2 linked regions of the Saccharomyces cerevisiae S288C genome follow. The protein of the gene in region 2 interacts with the protein of the main gene of each other region in a pairwise test. Each region holds a gene or a part of one and is shown on either strand. Other genes may lie near its edges.

Region 1 (9,155 bases), on a different chromosome or scaffold from region 2:
GACATTTTCTTTAAAATATGTAACCTTGAGACTTCATTCGGGACATTCAGGCATATTTCTCTATCGAATCTACCTGCTCTTCTCAATGCTGCATCCAAAGAGTCAGGTCTATTCGTGGCACCTATGATAATAACAGGTTTTCCATTTGTCTTTTCCATCGTTAATTCATCCATTGAGGTCAATAATTGGGCAACTATTCTTCTCTCCATTTCTCTTTGGGCTCCTCCATCACGTTTTGGTGTAATGGCATCTATTTCATCAAAGAAAACAAGACATGGTGCCAAGCTTCTCGCTTCATCAAACAAATCCCTAATCTTTTTCTCGCTTTCCCCAGACATACCACTTACGACTGAAGGTGCAGAAATAGATATAAATGGGACTTGTAATTCTCCAGCTAACGCATTAGCAATCGACGTCTTACCGCAACCCGGTGGGCCATGCAACAGAACACCTCTAGGTGGTTCGACACCCGTGGATAAAAATATCTCTGGATGAAGAATGGGTAGACCTATTAGTTCCATAAGTTGTGCAACGACATCATCCATACCACCTAAGGATTTCAGAGACGAATTAGGTGGAGATCTATCTTCCTTGATTTTTTGACGTTTTACCTTACATGTACCTTCTTTGGATCTTTTTTTAGATTTTTTAACCTCTTCTGTCTTAGGATCATCAGTTTCTGTTATAGACTCGGAAACAGATCCAGATTTGGACCACGTGCTAGTTATGCGTTTGTTCATCTCATTTGTGTCTCGCTCAATCATCATATTTTTCTTAGCTAGTTCTTCTTCCAAGCTTGGTTTCTCTTCCTCTTCGTTGTTGTAACCTGGGTAAGAACCAAATTCTTCCAATTCTGATTCAATCACGTCTTTTAGCATGCGGTCAATTGTCTTTTGTAAGACAACTTTCTTAACTCTTTGAAGTGATAAATCTTTAGTCAAACAAAAGGTAAAAATCTCACCTGCTGTTAAATCTTTAGCGAAAAACATGGATTCAAATATATCCTCATCTTCTTCACCCTCGTTGTTCTCGCCCTCTTCTCCTTGGGATTCTTGTCTCAGAGACCTTTTTCTGTCCAAAGTTTTTTCTTCCAAGAGACGATAGATAAGATCGACGATCTTGTTATCTAGAGAACTTGTTAATGAGTTCTTTTTCGACTTTACTTTAACCATTATTCCAGCCTTCCCACCACGTAGCTATTATCGGCCCTAATGATCTTTTATTCTAACTGACTCGCAGATTAATTCACACATCGGTTGTTAATCATTGTTTGAATTTCCAAAATATGCGATGAGCTGAATGAAAAATTTTGGAACCTGTCACTATCGACGAACATCGAAGTTTGCCATGACAACCATATATGAAGAAAGCTTATGAGACTAGCTCGAGTATATCATACGTATGCATGTTAATCGCAGTTAAGCGGATAACACAATGCGTAAGCCTTCTATTACGATAACAACAGCAAAAGCTATTATAACTCCAGACTATACTCTTATTAAATCGCATTCTAAATACCAACTTCCTTCACGTTTTCAAAAGCTAGATGCAGACTCACCTGAGAGAAGTACAGTTGTTAAGCTATTTTACCGCCGATTTATGAGGCTTAAGCCTTTCATATCGAATGTGAAAATGGTTAAAGATACTTACAGGGATTATGTTCGATATAAGTTTATGAAAGAAAACTACGAACTCAAACGATACTTGGTATTCAATCCTGATGGCTTGAGGTCGAAAATCAATCTTGAGCTTCTCAGCAACACGAAATGTTGTGAAAGGATACTCCCCGTGACTGAGATGCAAAGAACCTTGGAATTTGTTCTGAAGAGCTGTTCATACTTGCCCGAAACAAAAGTTCAAAAGTGGGATATTGCAAGGGACAACACATATTGCAGGCAAATTTTAAAGAACCTTTTAACAATGCAATATGAAAAGTACAGATCGATTTTGCATAGAGGAATAGGCCATGATGAGCTTGACGTCAAATTCTCTCATTTGAAAACTACTTCTAGTCCGCTAACTAAGCTAAATAAAACCGAAAAGAAAAAGATTCCGCTTTTCAAAGTATTTAGTGATTTCGATACAACATTGATATATCTCAATGAGACATTAGGTACAAGGTTATAAAGATCATTATCGTAAAAGAGGAGCGGAGCGGAGCTTTTTAGTATGTATGGTAAAATATCAATCAAATACTGTAATAGATGCGGATATGCGCAATGACATATTTTGTGGTGTGCATATCCATTGAAAAGGTGCGTAGAACGTTACAATACTACTGAACTTTTTTCCTTCTCATTTTCTGCCATTTTGATATTTATGCCTATTATTGGTTTGAGCTTTATTAGAGTTGGCATAATTATAATCGTACTCGTATGTATATCCGTATCCATACCCATATCCGTTGTAATAAGTGTTTGGTATATATCCTTTGATGGCTTGGGCTCCTCCTACCGTCGTTATAACAGGCATTTTGTGGCGTTGTGGTGAGGCTCCTGATTGGCTGGTATTATCGATGGTCGTACGACTTTTGGCATTATTCATTGATCTGAAATTGCCATTGGTATTGCTATTACTGGTGTTACTCTTGCTGGAGGCAGACCCTAGAACAAATTTTTTAATTATTTTTTTAAATATTATTTTCGTCTTTTGTGTTTCCAAATAATTGGATAGTAATTCGATTGCTTTTGTTAGAGTATTCTCATTAGTATCCTTTTCAAAAGTAAAAGTGATAAGGTCCTTCTCAAAAGTTACAATTATGTTCATAATTTGCAAAAATGGAACAACAATTAGGTTATAAAATTCGTATTCTTTATTGGGATCTATCTCTTGATCTATTTTGAACTCGTATTCATAACCAAACGCACTATTAACCAATTCGTTAGCGGCTCTTGATGCATTCTCATCATTTCCTTGTATACTCAATTGAGATGTTCCATCCAAGGGCTCTTTTAACGGTATCATTATGTAAACATTTTCGTTCTTTTCGATTTGTCCTATAATATTCTTTTGGCCGTTAACATGCAAAATATGTCTATATTGCCCACTAGAAAATCTAATGAGCGTCTTCGATTGTAAACTATCATATTCTTGAACAATTTGTTTTAAATCATTCTTGGCTAGGCATATATTAGCTTTGTTTTTCCTGGGGCACCTAATTATCACATTATCATACCTGATCATAGAAATTTTATTTTGTGGAAGATTGAAACTATTGGAAAACTGAATGAAGACGTTATGCTTTCTCATTGTGGCTTGAATTAAGGAACCACCTGTACCTATAATCGGTCTGTGACAAACTTCAGGAATGAAGAAAGATTCTTCGGCAGGAAATTCATTTATAACATTCTTAAATGATTCCTTGAAATCAGGGAAAGAGTCACTAACCAAATTTAAATAAAGGTTATCATCTTCCTCTTCCATTTCCAGTTGAATTAAGCAAGCAGATAGTTCCATTATACGTGTTAATTTACCATTTTTCTTGCCTGATATGAAGTCTTCAAAATCAGGATGTATCTCGAAAATGGCTTTTATCTGTCTTAAGTTTGGATTAATCACTTGATTTGAGCCCATAATAAAATCAGATAAGTAATGCAATATGGAAGTATCGGACGCCTCATCTGTGGAAGATTGGTTACCAACTACTATTAATTGGTTGAAGGAATCCTCTTTGGGAGTTATTACTACAATTTGGTTTCCAGTGTGTCCGAAAAAGCTGTCGATTATTAATTCCGGGGACATTGCGCAGTTTTCATTGAGTGAAATCTGTACTTCTACAATTTCATGTAATACTTGAATAGTGAAGTTCTTAATAACCATTTCTAATAAGTTCGTGGAAATCGATTGAAATTCAATGTATTCGTTAGTAACTCTAATAAGCGATTGGTATTTCAAAATTAACTGGTTTACCTTTTGTTGGTAGTATTTTCGGATAAACAGTAGTTTTCCTGGGGTAATATTAGTCAATCGACGATAAAAAAAACTCTTTGAATTCACGCTTATGGACTCACGTAGAGTTTTCCTAGCCAGTAAACTTAGTGAATGGACAGCGCCTGAGAAGAAGATTTGTGGATTTGCCTTAAGATCCCTAGACAGCGTAATGAGGGAAGGTGCGTAAATGCTGGTTTTAAAAGCTCTGGATATATGTTTGAAGTTTTCCATATCTACACCCATATATAAGGGAAGCACAGAGTATGAGTTCAGTTCCATAGGTTCGATAATGTAGTGTTGTGGAGGCAAAGTCATACCATTCTTCTTTATTAAATCGACAAATGCCAATAACTGGGGTTCGCATTCCATTAAATTAGATCGGAATCCTAATGCATGCACGTAAATACATAATTCCTTGCTCTCGCCTGTCTGTTCTGGTGTGAAGTAAGCTGGTTCTTTGGTGATGATTAGTTCTAAATTGAATTTTTCACTCAAGTCCAATAGTATACGTTTCATTTTTTCCAATTCTGCTGTTAGATCATTTGTGTTCATAGGTAAGGGCAAAGAAATCCTGCAAATAGCATCGAGGTCCATATCATCTGTGGTAGCTTTTATTGAGATCATGTCATCTCTAATGAAAGAAGCATTTAGATTGACCCATGAGGGATCTATATGACAGATTGCTTTTGTGTTTTTAAGTTCTTTGGAGCTTATTCTTTTTTGAAGAAATTCAACTAAAAAAGGTGCTTCTATGGGCTTCCATAATCTATTTGTCGTGTATAAGTGTGGAACTTGTAAAAAAGCAGTTGTGATAACTGTACTGTAAATTTTGAAGTTATCCATGCCTCAACCGTGTGTTTACTGCTGTTTTTCTTTTTAAACAATTGTGTAGACTTAACCTCTGCGGGCTTGAATAGTGCTTCAAAAGGTTCAGGTAGTCAAGAGGTTAGCTATATAAACAAAGATGACTTTTCATCCTTTATTTCTTTTATTTTGTTTTTGTTTTTTGCCTTTGTGGAAAAAAAACAATCTACAAGCGAAAAGAAAAATTTTGGAGAAAAATATAATTTAGGATTACAAGAAAGTGATAGAAAAATGTACAATCTTAAAAGAATAAAGCTGCAGAAAAGAGATGCTTTTGCTTTCAAATTTTTGCAATATCAAGAGATATGATTTACTTGTATCTAAATTACATGTAGATATATATATATAGTATATTTGTAAGTAAAGAGTGGAAATGAAGTTCGTCATTTCCAAAAAATGTCATTTATGTGCTTAATCAATCTCCCACTAGCAAATGCAATTGTACCAAAAGTAACGACCAGTTGAGTGACTATTAAACTTAAAGAAGCAAAGATAAACCTTGGGCAGAAGATTTTCCAAACCATCAAGTGTCTACGGAAGTGAGTAACCCAAATAAAGGAGCTTAGACATAAAATAGTATTGTAAGTGAGTAATATACCGCAGTTTGACACAATTCTTCCTAAAAGTGTTTGTGGCTTCAACACATCAGGAGGCTGTGACCACAGTGTCAGTAACGCTACAGATAAGGAGACGAGAATATGAGGCCCAAATGTATTTAGGATGATGGCTATCTGAGTGAAGGGGAACGTTACCTTTTCAGACAGCATAAATCCGATATCCCATTGCACTGATGGAATTGTGGCTTGATGACCGGTGGTGAAAAAATGTTGGTAAGATAAGAGTCCCAACGCAATTGGACCAATTATGTTTTCCTTTAATTTTAAAAGATCGATAATTTCTAAAATTGATAGTAGTTGGTTGCACATGAGGAAGTATGACAACTGGGCCAGGGGTTTGTTGAATAGTAGGATACTAATGAGAACGTTTATGACCAAAAGAAAAAACTCTGAGCCGTAAATATTAGTATAACCTAAAATTGTTGCTTCGTGAGACTTAACATCAGTATTATGAATGTTTAATTTAATACAAAGTGGTCCCATTAGCCAGCCGACATTAGAAGCAATCAATGAAAAACCGGCAATAATTCTAGCCAACGTAAATTTAAAAATAGTGACGTCCCGTAAGAACGGTATTGCTATTACCGCACTGTTATTTTCTAATGAAGTCAATGACCAATAAACAAAGTTCAAACCAAGGATACCCTTTAGGAAAACGTTTATCCAAATTGGAGCTGCAGCTTGATAAGACGATGTTAGATTATAATAACCGGTGATGCATGCAGGTAATATGAATATCATTAGGAAACAGAGACCCAAAACCCACCACGAGGAATTGTTTTGATTATTAAATGTTGGAATACAATATTCGCCTTGTTCCTCTCTACAAATGGTAATCATAGAAGCTAACCGGGTAAAAATGATTAAAACTGCAGAATGGTAACCTCCTAGTAATCTTGCAAATCTTGTTAATGGTAAGTAATTTGAATTTGCTGTCGAAGGATTGACCCCTGAAGTGGTTCCTTCCTTTTCACTGATTGTTGCAGTTAATAATGCAGTGGTGGATTGCCTTTTTGGTAAGAAGACAAATTCATACAACGTCAACATGCCGAAAGTAGATAAAAGGAATGCTACAATTCTATCCTCCCAAATAGTAAATGAATTGGAAGTGAAAAGCAAAGCATGAATAATCATAAACATGACAGCAATTCTTGACCAATAATCAGCTAATGTTTCACCCAGTCTCATAGCAATCCAAATAAAGTTGTACCTATCAAATATTGTGATATAACAACCAATAATGATACCAATTGCAGTCGCTAACAGGGTACCCCAGAATTGGTCTACAAAACTTGGTTGTTGATAAACGTAAAAAATTCCATGGAAACATAGGTTTGTAACTAAGACCATTATGATAATTCCCGGAACGAATTCTGGAACCATTTGATTCACAACAATAGAAGGAATTAATTTTGTAATGGATATCAACAGGACCAGTGAAGTGGCCAGTAGCGTTATACCGGTGGCAATGGAATAATAATCGAATTTGGCCCATAGTTCTTCGCAGGTCTGCAAGAAGACCTTTTGGTATTTATGACCCAGCTTAACAAATTTTTCTGGATCGCTTGTTGGGGGGGTGTTAGATATATTTTTCGCTAACGGTTCCAATATTTCGTCATTGCCATGGTGGATCTGCATCGTGTCCTTATATAATTGTAATTGGCTTATCGCTGAGTTGACAAATTGAGACCATTCTCTATCGTTTCTTGCTATTTCGTCAATAGGCCATCCAAGATTGTTAAATGGTATCGGTTGGCCCATCAATAACGCCAAACTAGACACCAAATCAATTTGTCTCACTGAACGGTAATCGTGTCCCAAATTATCAATGTTGTAATTCGAAGTTTCTTTAAGTCTCCACATGTCCGGCTTCTTAGAATAAAGAAATAAAGTGCTTTCGAGCTCGTCGATGGAGTCGCCACCGTGATTGCCCGTATGGTCCATTCCATGGTCACCCAAAATAACCAATAAGGTATCATCATCGATCGATTTTAGTATCCAATCGATAAATTGATCTACTTGAATTTGTTTTTCCCTCATAGTAAAATGGTCGGGGCCATATTTGTGGCCCACATGGTCAATACCTAGCATGTGTCCAATCATGACGTCCCATTCCTTGTCCTGCTGTAAATGATCATGGAAGTAATCCATAACACCGTTATCGACAGTATCTAAGTCCCACACATTGAGTGATTCTAGTGGGAAACTATCGTTGGAAAGGAACGGATGGAACAGAGCCATCCATGTATCATCTCCGGCAAATTTGACAGTCTTATTTGCCAAATGGAGCTGTTTAAGAAAGTTATCCTCTTCGATTACTGTTCCATCGAAGTTAGACCCGGCATCAATGAAAGTCGGTAAGGACCCTGTTGTGAGACCCTTGAGTCTTTGTAAAGTAGTGGTTGGTGGGTCGGCAATGAACTTCAACAATAGGGAAGATGCATCCTTATCGCTTGCAAAAGAATCATACAATGATAATATATTATTATGATAGTTCAAGTTGTAATTAGAGTGGGATTCGTTTACAGGAATAGCGAAATCAAATCTCAAAGCGTCAATAACCAAAATCACCGCCTTGTTGAACCTAGGAGGTAACTTACTCGTTTCGTTTTGTGAGGAAATATTATCAAGAACGTGTCTTGACAGTAAGAATCCCCGAGTGAAAAAAGCTATTGATATGAATTGTAAAATGGCGATGAAAACCAATAGAATAATATAAAATTTATGATTCTTTTGAAATTTCTTTATTCGCGATTTGTATATTATTTTTTCATCATTGGAAGATGAAAGAATCGACTTTTTAATTGTCTTTTCATCCATATTACGGGAGCTTTTTTTTTCCACTTAATGTATTGATCTTCCTCCCGTTCTTTGACGATTCGGCGTTGCCCTTAAAACATATGCTTCTATTCCTTTTTTGATCTTACCCATTTATTTGTTTTTTTTTATTTTCCGGTGGACAACAAAATGTTAAAGGAAAAAAGAAAGTACCTTGCTCGTCATCGCGCTTGCATAATGTGCGCCATTACCCTGTAACAAAAACAAAAGATAGAGTGGCAACAACTTGACACAACTTTGCAATTGTACCATGAACCCCAACAAGAAAGGCGGTTGAGAGTAAATGATGTGGTTTGGTTCCTTTTTTTTCCTACATTTAAGGTTCATAGAGAAGAAAATTTTCTGAAATGTCTTTTCCTCTTTTAATGAATTGTAAAAAAGCCAGTATTGGAATAATATTCTATTCAATATAGTAAGAAAAGAGGCAATGGGCAGAAATCTTCTCCCGCATAATCCTTTAAATGCAAAATACATGTTAGGCGTCTAAATTTTTTTCAGTGAATCCAGATGCAGAAACATTTAAACAATAAATATCTTAAACCCATTTTGAAGCATCGGCGGCTAAAAAAATGATTTTGCATGGAAAAAAATGAGAGCTGTGAACCCAATAAAAAAGACAGCTTTTTAAAAATGTATAACGGTACATTAAGCTCTTGTTTATTCCTCAAACTGCTCCTAAAAACCATCCTCTCAAAAATAATAATGATAGCTGAAGATTATCTGCCACGAAATGCCATTGAGCCGCTTACTTGTAGGTTTTCATGAGTAATAACGAAGATAATTTACCCGTCTTTATAACCCACGTAAAAATAAACATATAATTATTTCTTATTATTTCAACTAACCGTTAAAGTGTTCAAATATGGTAGAAAGCTTTCCCTATGTGCATTATGATTATCTTTTAGC
Region 2 (7,721 bases):
TTTAGAGGGTTTTAGAAAAAAAAGGATGCAAACTCAGGAAAAAACGGTGCCTACCACCTTTTTTCCTTTTTCCAGAAAAGGGCATGTTAATTTCATCTATAATCCTTTAAAAAAGTCTCTTTTGAAAAATGCTAATTTAATCCAGTCGAAAAAGACCTTTAATCTCGATCTTGCAGATAGAATCATGGACAAGTACAAAATTCTCCATAAGTAGAAGGTCATTAAGCCACCACCGGTGTAAAATGTTCTCTTACCGGAACGTATGGTTGCAATGGCCCTTTCGGATCCCAGGTATGCTAAGGCACCTAAATCGTTGTATTTGAAAGGTTTAAAGTTGTTCTCCTCGAACAAGAGATCAATTTTATCCTTTCTTGAAGATAGATTCTTTTGGAAATTTGGTATTTGAGCCATTTTATCAAAATTCTTGGCCAAATATTCGGCCTCTTGGTGCGCTACTTGGGCGGTTGGTGGCAACCCAGCAAATGCATTGTCACCAATGGCGAAAATGTTGTTGCTGCCTTTCACCTGCAAAAAGTCATTCACTGCCAATCCTCTCTTGGACGAGTTTTGCTCAGGAATTTTCTTGAAAAGGTCAGTGATTACCGGTCTTGCCTTGTTACCCGTGGCCCAAATCAAAGTACCGTATGGAATAGTTTCTTCGGTTATTTTACCGTCTTCGTGTTTGGTCTTTGCCAACAATTGCTTTTCTTCAACTTTGGCGACAGCCGTTCTCAGATGTACTTTGATCGAAGTGTTTTCTAAATGTGATTGCGCGTATGATGAAAGCTTTTTCTCAAACATATTCAAAACGATGGGCAGAGCTTCGACCAAGTGAATTTGGACTTCTTCGGCCAATGCAGGGAGAAACTTTCTCAGGTCCTGGTGAACATAATCCTGTAGTTCACCAGCGGCCTCTACACCAGTAGGCCCACCACCAACCACGACAATGGACAGTAGTCTTCTTCTTTCGGGATCACCCTTTGGCAATAAGTTAGCCTTCTCTAGATTGGCGGCAAAAGTTCTTCTTATTTCCAAAGAGTTGGGAATTTCCTTCAGGAAATGACCGTAATCAGTGACCCCAGGAATACCAAATGTGTTAGGTTCCGCACCTACAGCACTGATTAAATAATCGTACTTAATTTCAGCAGGTTCTGCTTGATGCAGCCCTAGATGGTTTTCAGGTTGGTATAGCTGGCTAACGGCAGATAATGATTTTATGGTAACGGTATTCCTGTCGGGATTGATAGAGGTGGCTTCTGCCTCATAGTAGGTAACGTTCCCCTTTTTCTTGAGAGCAAAATTAACGATGGGCTCAATAATTGACTTTTCGTCTACTGTCCCAACTGGTGCAGAAGGTAACAAAGGCGTAAATAAGAAATAGCTTCTAGGAGAGATGATGGAAACGTTGTACTTCTTGGTGTCAATGTGCTTTAAAAACGAAATAGCTCCCCACCCCGAACCCAGTATCAGCACGTTTGGTTTGTCGCTGTGCTGAGGGTCAATGACTTTCATGGTCTTAAAAGATGTAGGACCTGCTCCGGAGTTTTCCACCCCTGTGGATCTGGTGGAAGCGAATCTGACTAGCGTATTCGTCGAGGTGAGCAACCTCTTGTTACTATACAAATTCTTCGATAGCATAGTGGTTTTTAGTTTCTTCTCTTGGGTAAACGTGTAATTCGATGATGTGATGAAACTGACACCCTACCTGAAACTCCTCAATTGGTAGTTAAAACTCCTTCCCCACTATGCCCTATACATCTTATATATACCCTGTCGACGTTGCAAATACCGGCAATAACCAAGAGCGCTAAGGGGGAGCACTCTTATTGTGGTTACCCGGACGTTCAATGCCTTCATATGATTGGTCCGAATGAATAGGTCATGAGAAAATGCATATTTTTGAGGCATTTCAGCAATGATCGGCAATCTGCACATATTCGTATTGTTTCCCTGAGTAAGTTATTTGCGGAAAGAGACATTCTATTGCTTTGGAGTATTTTGTGGTCTTCGACAATAAAGCGAAGGAATAATAGGTTCGTTGCTAGCGACAAGCAACACATAGTTGTAGTGATGCTATAGCAAAGAAAGGTCACAGATTCATTATTGACCTTTTAAATGGTGCCCAGTGGCAATTGCCGTTTTAGCATTCTTTAAATGCGTAGTATATGAGTTTTAAAGTGCTTTGTTGTTCACGTGCTTTTCACGTGTATGATTACTTAACCGGGTAGCGCCGGTCTTTAATATGCTTTCCAGATTAGGAAAGAACATAAATAAAAACACAAAATAAGAAAGTGTCAATCATCCGCATTGAAAGAAAGAAAAGATTTTTTTATCCCTCAATTGTACATGAAAACAGAGACCTTTCAAAACGTATTTTAACATTCTTTTACTCTTTTCTTGCACCTGCAGCCTTAGGTCAGTAAGAAAAAAAGTAGGTAGCAATGAGCCCAAGTCCATCAGTGTCGCCAAGAAGGACGCTCAATAACAAATCATCTTACATCAATAACAGCGGTGGGCTGGTCCTGCCTCCTACGCAGTTTAATTTGAATCAGCAGCCAGTCCTGAGCTTCCAACAAAAAGCGACTTTCGATTCCAACCAGCAGTTTTTCTATTATCCAGAGTCACCCACAAAAAACCTGAGACCAAGGTTTAACAGTATTTCGCAGGTTAATAAAGGAGTTAATGAAGACCATTATACCGGGGGCGGTAGCAGTAATAATAACAGGCCATCTAGATATACAAATACCATGGGCGCTGCAAACACCAATGTAAATTCCCATCCGCATCATCAGTCGGTGTCGCATTTAAATTCTAAATCTCTTAAATTCAATCAAACGAAGGAAGTGAGCAGCATAAATGAAATTATTTTTCCTTCCAGAACGTGTACAAAGAAACGGTATTTTACCAAGCCAATTGATTTGTATGGTACAAGAAGTAGCACTAGTGTGGCACCTAAGTTGACGAATTCTCCCACGAAATCAAAAACAAATTTCAACATCAAGAAGTGCATCTTACCTAGGTCCGTCGTTACCACATATAAATTACCATCTCCAGTGCACGAAACGATAGACGATATATCCAAAAAAATCATAATCCTGCTAATTTCGTTGAAGTTTGAGAAAAACTATCACTTCTTGCAACCTATTCAATTGTCCACAAATAGTAAGACACGGATCTCAAAATCACTAGACGAATTATGCGGAGTGCAGCTGACATCAACGTTACGGCAACAAAAGCAGCTGCAAGGTAACAGCAAGCCCGTAAAGAATCTCCCTAATTCCAATGCGAAGCAGAGAGCCGGGGCCAGTGTTTCCACAAATGCCAACGAAAGCTTTGAATTGAGTTTTGATGGAAAGGCAATGGATAGATCTGATATATTTCGAATGGTAGATTCTTTTAGCATCGCCATTTCAGATGAAGATGAGGAAGATGAGGAGGAGGATAGCTTTCAGCAGAGAAGTGCGAACAACAGAATCCTCCCTGCGGAGATACTAAGTAATGAACCTTTGAAATGATACGGATTCTCTGTATTCTGTCTATAGTATTTATATACCAATACATTTTTCCGCACTTTGAAGTTTTGCATTTTACTTAATGTAGTTTATTATTAGTTGCCAAAACGAAACATTTAACATGTGAATTAAAAATACAAAAAAAAGCCTATTAACGATCTAAATTTATGACAAAAGACATATAATTATTTTAATGATGCCTTTGTCACAACCGAACACAATATCTTTGAAAAGTGATCCAGCAATCGAATTCAGAATTCGTTGTGCCATTTTTGCCTTACGTTTGCGCCATTGTAATTTCTCTGTGCCGTCTTCTCTTCACTTTATTTCAATATTATCATGCAGTAAACAAGTTGCAGAATAATAAATAATATACGTACCAAATATGTGAACAACTCAGATACTATTCATTTGATATGTTAAAAGTCCTGCATTCCTCTCCCGACATTATATATAAAATGCTCAGCCACCCCTTCGTTGCACAGAAAAAAAGGATGACCTATAATACCAATATTCAATCACAATAGTTATACCAAACTAACACATGGTTGAAGCAGACTACTTACTATCGTGGAGTTAGCTCACTGAAAATTTAATATTTACAGCATTAAACAGTTTTTTCTTTTGTTTTGTCTCCTACATTAATTTCAATATGGATAGCCAAGTAGAAGGCAAAATATCCCCCTCACAGAAGGAGTCCTCCTCCACCTCAGGCCTCGTTTCACCTAGTGAAGATGGCCCAGCACATCAAAAAATACACAGAGACCAATTAAGTGTGGATCAAATCAAGAAAATCAGAGAAGAACGTGCTCAGAAGAGACAGGTACGTAGGAACTCTCTAATATCCCAAGGGAAGGACCCTGACTTCCCAACGCCTGACTTACAATTCATTGAAAGACCATTCCTCCCTATCAACCATGATAATTCGAAAGGTCTTACGCCAGCGACCATACAAGTCACCCAAGATTCATTGGACGTTAAAATAATGACCTATAATACTCTAGCACAAACCTTGATTAGGAGAGATTTTTTCCCAGAAAGTGGACCAGCGTTAAAGTGGCATAAGAGATCAAAAGTTTTGGTCCACGAATTGAAAAAGTACAGGCCTGATGTAGTATCGTTGCAGGAGGTCGATTACAATGAACTCAACTTCTGGCAGGAGAATTTCCATAAGTTAGGGTTTGATGTGATTTTCAAAAGGCATGAAGGGAAAACTCATGGACTACTAGTTGCATGGAACAATAAAAAATTCCAGTTAGATAATGATTGGATGCTGGACTACGATAATATATTGGCGGGAAATGTCATTTCAGCAAGAACAAGAACTAAAAATATTGCCCTTATTATATCGCTATATTTCAAGGGTATAACAGATTCATCATCAAGAGGAATTATCGTCGCAAATACACACCTATTTTGGCATCCCTTTGGGGTATTTGAAAGATTAAGGCAATCTTACTTGGTTTTACAAAAGATCCAGGAAATTAAAGCATGTTCCAAATATAATGGCTGGCATAGCCTACTGATGGGTGATTTCAATACCGAACCTGAAGAGCCACCGTACTTGGCCATAACGAAAAGACCACTGATATTAAAAGGCCCAATAAGAGCTATGGTGGAATGCTCACTAGCGTATCGGTATTCAAAAAAAAGGAATGGAGAAGAAAGTGACCAGGATGATGAAGAGTGTGATGAAAAGTCTAGGGGCGAAGGCCATTCAGATCAACCACAAAACCCAAAACCAGAGAGCTTTACAGCCACAAAGGAAGAAAAGGCTCTGGTAAATCAATTAGTTGCGTTGCATAATTCACTACATGTGAAAGGCGTATCTTTGTATGGGATTGGCTACGGTAAAGTGCATCCTGAAAATGCTAACGGAAGCCACGGCGAACCGGGACTCTCAAACTGGGCCAATACATGGTGTGGATTATTAGACTACATATTTTATATCGAGGGTGATCATAATCAGGACACGCGTCAGAAAGAGCCTCTGAATGCTTTTGAAGGAAATAACAACGTAAAAATAATCGGATATCTGAGGATGCCGTGCGCACAAGAAATGCCCAAACACTCCCAACCTTTCGAGGGAGAATATGCTAGTGATCACATTTCCCTAATGTGCCAAATACGCTTGTTTTTTGGGGGGGAGAAAGTGCATAGCTTAAAATAAAGAAACAATATATATAAACAACCTACATTTGTGTTTGAAAGACAGTAATCAACGCTTCGATGGTCACTGGGATTTTTCTTTCAATTTAGCGTCACTTTCACCTTATTCACAGCTTTTACGTGCTATTTTTGGTCACCCTTCCCCTTTCGTTGCGCCTCAACGGGCTAAAAAAAAAAAAATAAAATCAAGCATAGAAACACCACAACAAACCTGCCCTTTTTCCTTGTTTCAGGTTACGTGAAAAGCATCCAGAGAAGATATCCCAAAGACTGAAGAGGTGTAGTTGGCTCATTCACGTCGTTCGTTTATATTATCAAGGAAGGGGTTTTTGATCGGCTCGAACAAGACTCGCAAGAATCCGTTTTCTATTGTTTTTTTTGAGGATTCCAATATGTCAAATTCCAATTCAAAAAAACCTGTTGCGAATTACGCATACCGTCAACAGCAAGATTATAATGGGATGAACGCCATGGTGGGAAATCCAATGATGTATCATCCTGTTGATTTCGTAAACGGTGCCGGCCAATATGGTCCTTCTCAACACCCAGCATATTACACCAACTCACCATTACCTAATATTCCACCAACACCTTTTGATACTGCATACGGTGCCAGTCTTTTTCCATCTCACCTATTGATGGGATCTCCATTTGTTTCCTCGCCTAACATGCAAAGTGGCTATAATTCTGCAAGATCATCTAATCTCAAAAGAAAGGCTTATTCGAGGCCCGTTTCTAATCATAACGGTTACAACGGAAACAGTAACAGTAACCAAAACAATACTAATAACGGAATGGTAACACCCTCGAACTATTATAGAATGGGGAGAAATTCTTTCTCGAGGAACAACAACAGTACGAGGAATGTTACTCACAACAACAATAAGGGGTGCGACACCCGGAACAACAGTGGAAGAAGAACATTCGCAAGGAATAACATTTTCGACGACATACTTCCAGAAATGCTTTTACAAAGACCCTTTTGTATTAATTACAAGGTTCTACCGACTGGTGATGATGCTTATAGAACTAGGTCGCTGCTTATTGAAAATGTGGATCATTCTATTGATTTACACTCTATAGTCAAAAATTTTGTCAAATCCAATACTCTGGAAAGTGCCTACTTAATTGAAGGAGGGAAGAGCGATGATTCAAAAGATGTAGAGACTAAAAATCTATCCATTCTAATAAGCTTTCTAACCAAAGGCGACTGTTTGAACTTTTACAATAACATTTTACAAAGGTTATCTGAATTCAAAACATTTTTGAAATCTGAAGCACTAAATCTGAAATTTGTTTGTCTAAACTATGATCCCAAATGCCTCCCTACCTTTATTGAGAGTGAAGCGTTAACAGAAAACGCTGAAGAAGCCGACATTACCAATGGTTCAACAATGATCAGTGCTTCGCTGCATCATAATATAGCGAACAAAGATGCTACAAGGTCGATTATAATTGAATTCAAAAGCCCCGTGGAGAAAAGCGATTTATTCAAAAAGAAATTACAATTTTTGGACAGGTCAAAAAACAAAAGATACATTTTGGAATCTATCGATTTAGTGAACACAGATGTACCTTCCAATCAATTTCCTGAAAATTACGCCGTTTTAACCTTTTTGAATATCTCTATGGCTATTGAAGTTCTCGATTATTTGAAAAAATACTCCAAAAACTTAGGCATTTCTAAATGTTTTTACGTATCCCTAGCCCCGTTGGTAGTTAGCTCAGCCAGATCTTCGGTTGCTAATATTTACGAGGGTAAAACGAGCACACATCGTTTATCGGTGCCTTCTGTTACTGCTGGGAACAATAACGATAGCAACAACAACGGAAACAATAATAAAAGTAATATGAGTGGTATCACCACACTCAATAATAATAGTAGTATTGGTGTTTCCGTATACGGTCACTCTAATATGAGTTTAACCAGTCTGTCATCATCTGTATCTTTAAATGAAGAGATTGATATGCTTGCGACGAAACTTCAAGGGGTAGAACTTGATGGGACTTATTTAGAAATCAACTATCGCGACTATCAAA

The links. Proteins that work in one complex are often made in the same cells at the same time.
Region 1: the proteins of YML119W (region 2) and YLL032C interact in binary tests that used the Saccharomyces cerevisiae proteins (3 or more experiments, as listed by UniProt).

The regions. Positions count from the first base shown.
Region 1 is NC_001144.5:71,975-81,129, forward strand, and holds YLL032C (uncharacterized protein), read right to left. Parts: upstream 4,774-9,155; coding exon 2,296-4,773; downstream 1-2,295. Other genes in the region: putative AAA family ATPase RIX7, read right to left, coding at 1-1,172; IRC19 (Irc19p), read left to right, coding at 1,435-2,127; mannose-ethanolamine phosphotransferase GPI13, read right to left, coding at 5,178-8,231; RRT7 (Rrt7p), read right to left, coding at 8,382-8,723.
Region 2 is NC_001145.3:28,170-35,890, forward strand, and holds YML119W (uncharacterized protein), read left to right. Parts: upstream 1-2,441; coding exon 2,442-3,515; downstream 3,516-7,721. Other genes in the region: NADH-ubiquinone reductase (H(+)-translocating) NDI1, read right to left, coding at 97-1,638; NGL3 (3'-5' poly(A) RNA exonuclease), read left to right, coding at 4,165-5,682; NAB6 (Nab6p), read left to right, coding at 6,074-7,721.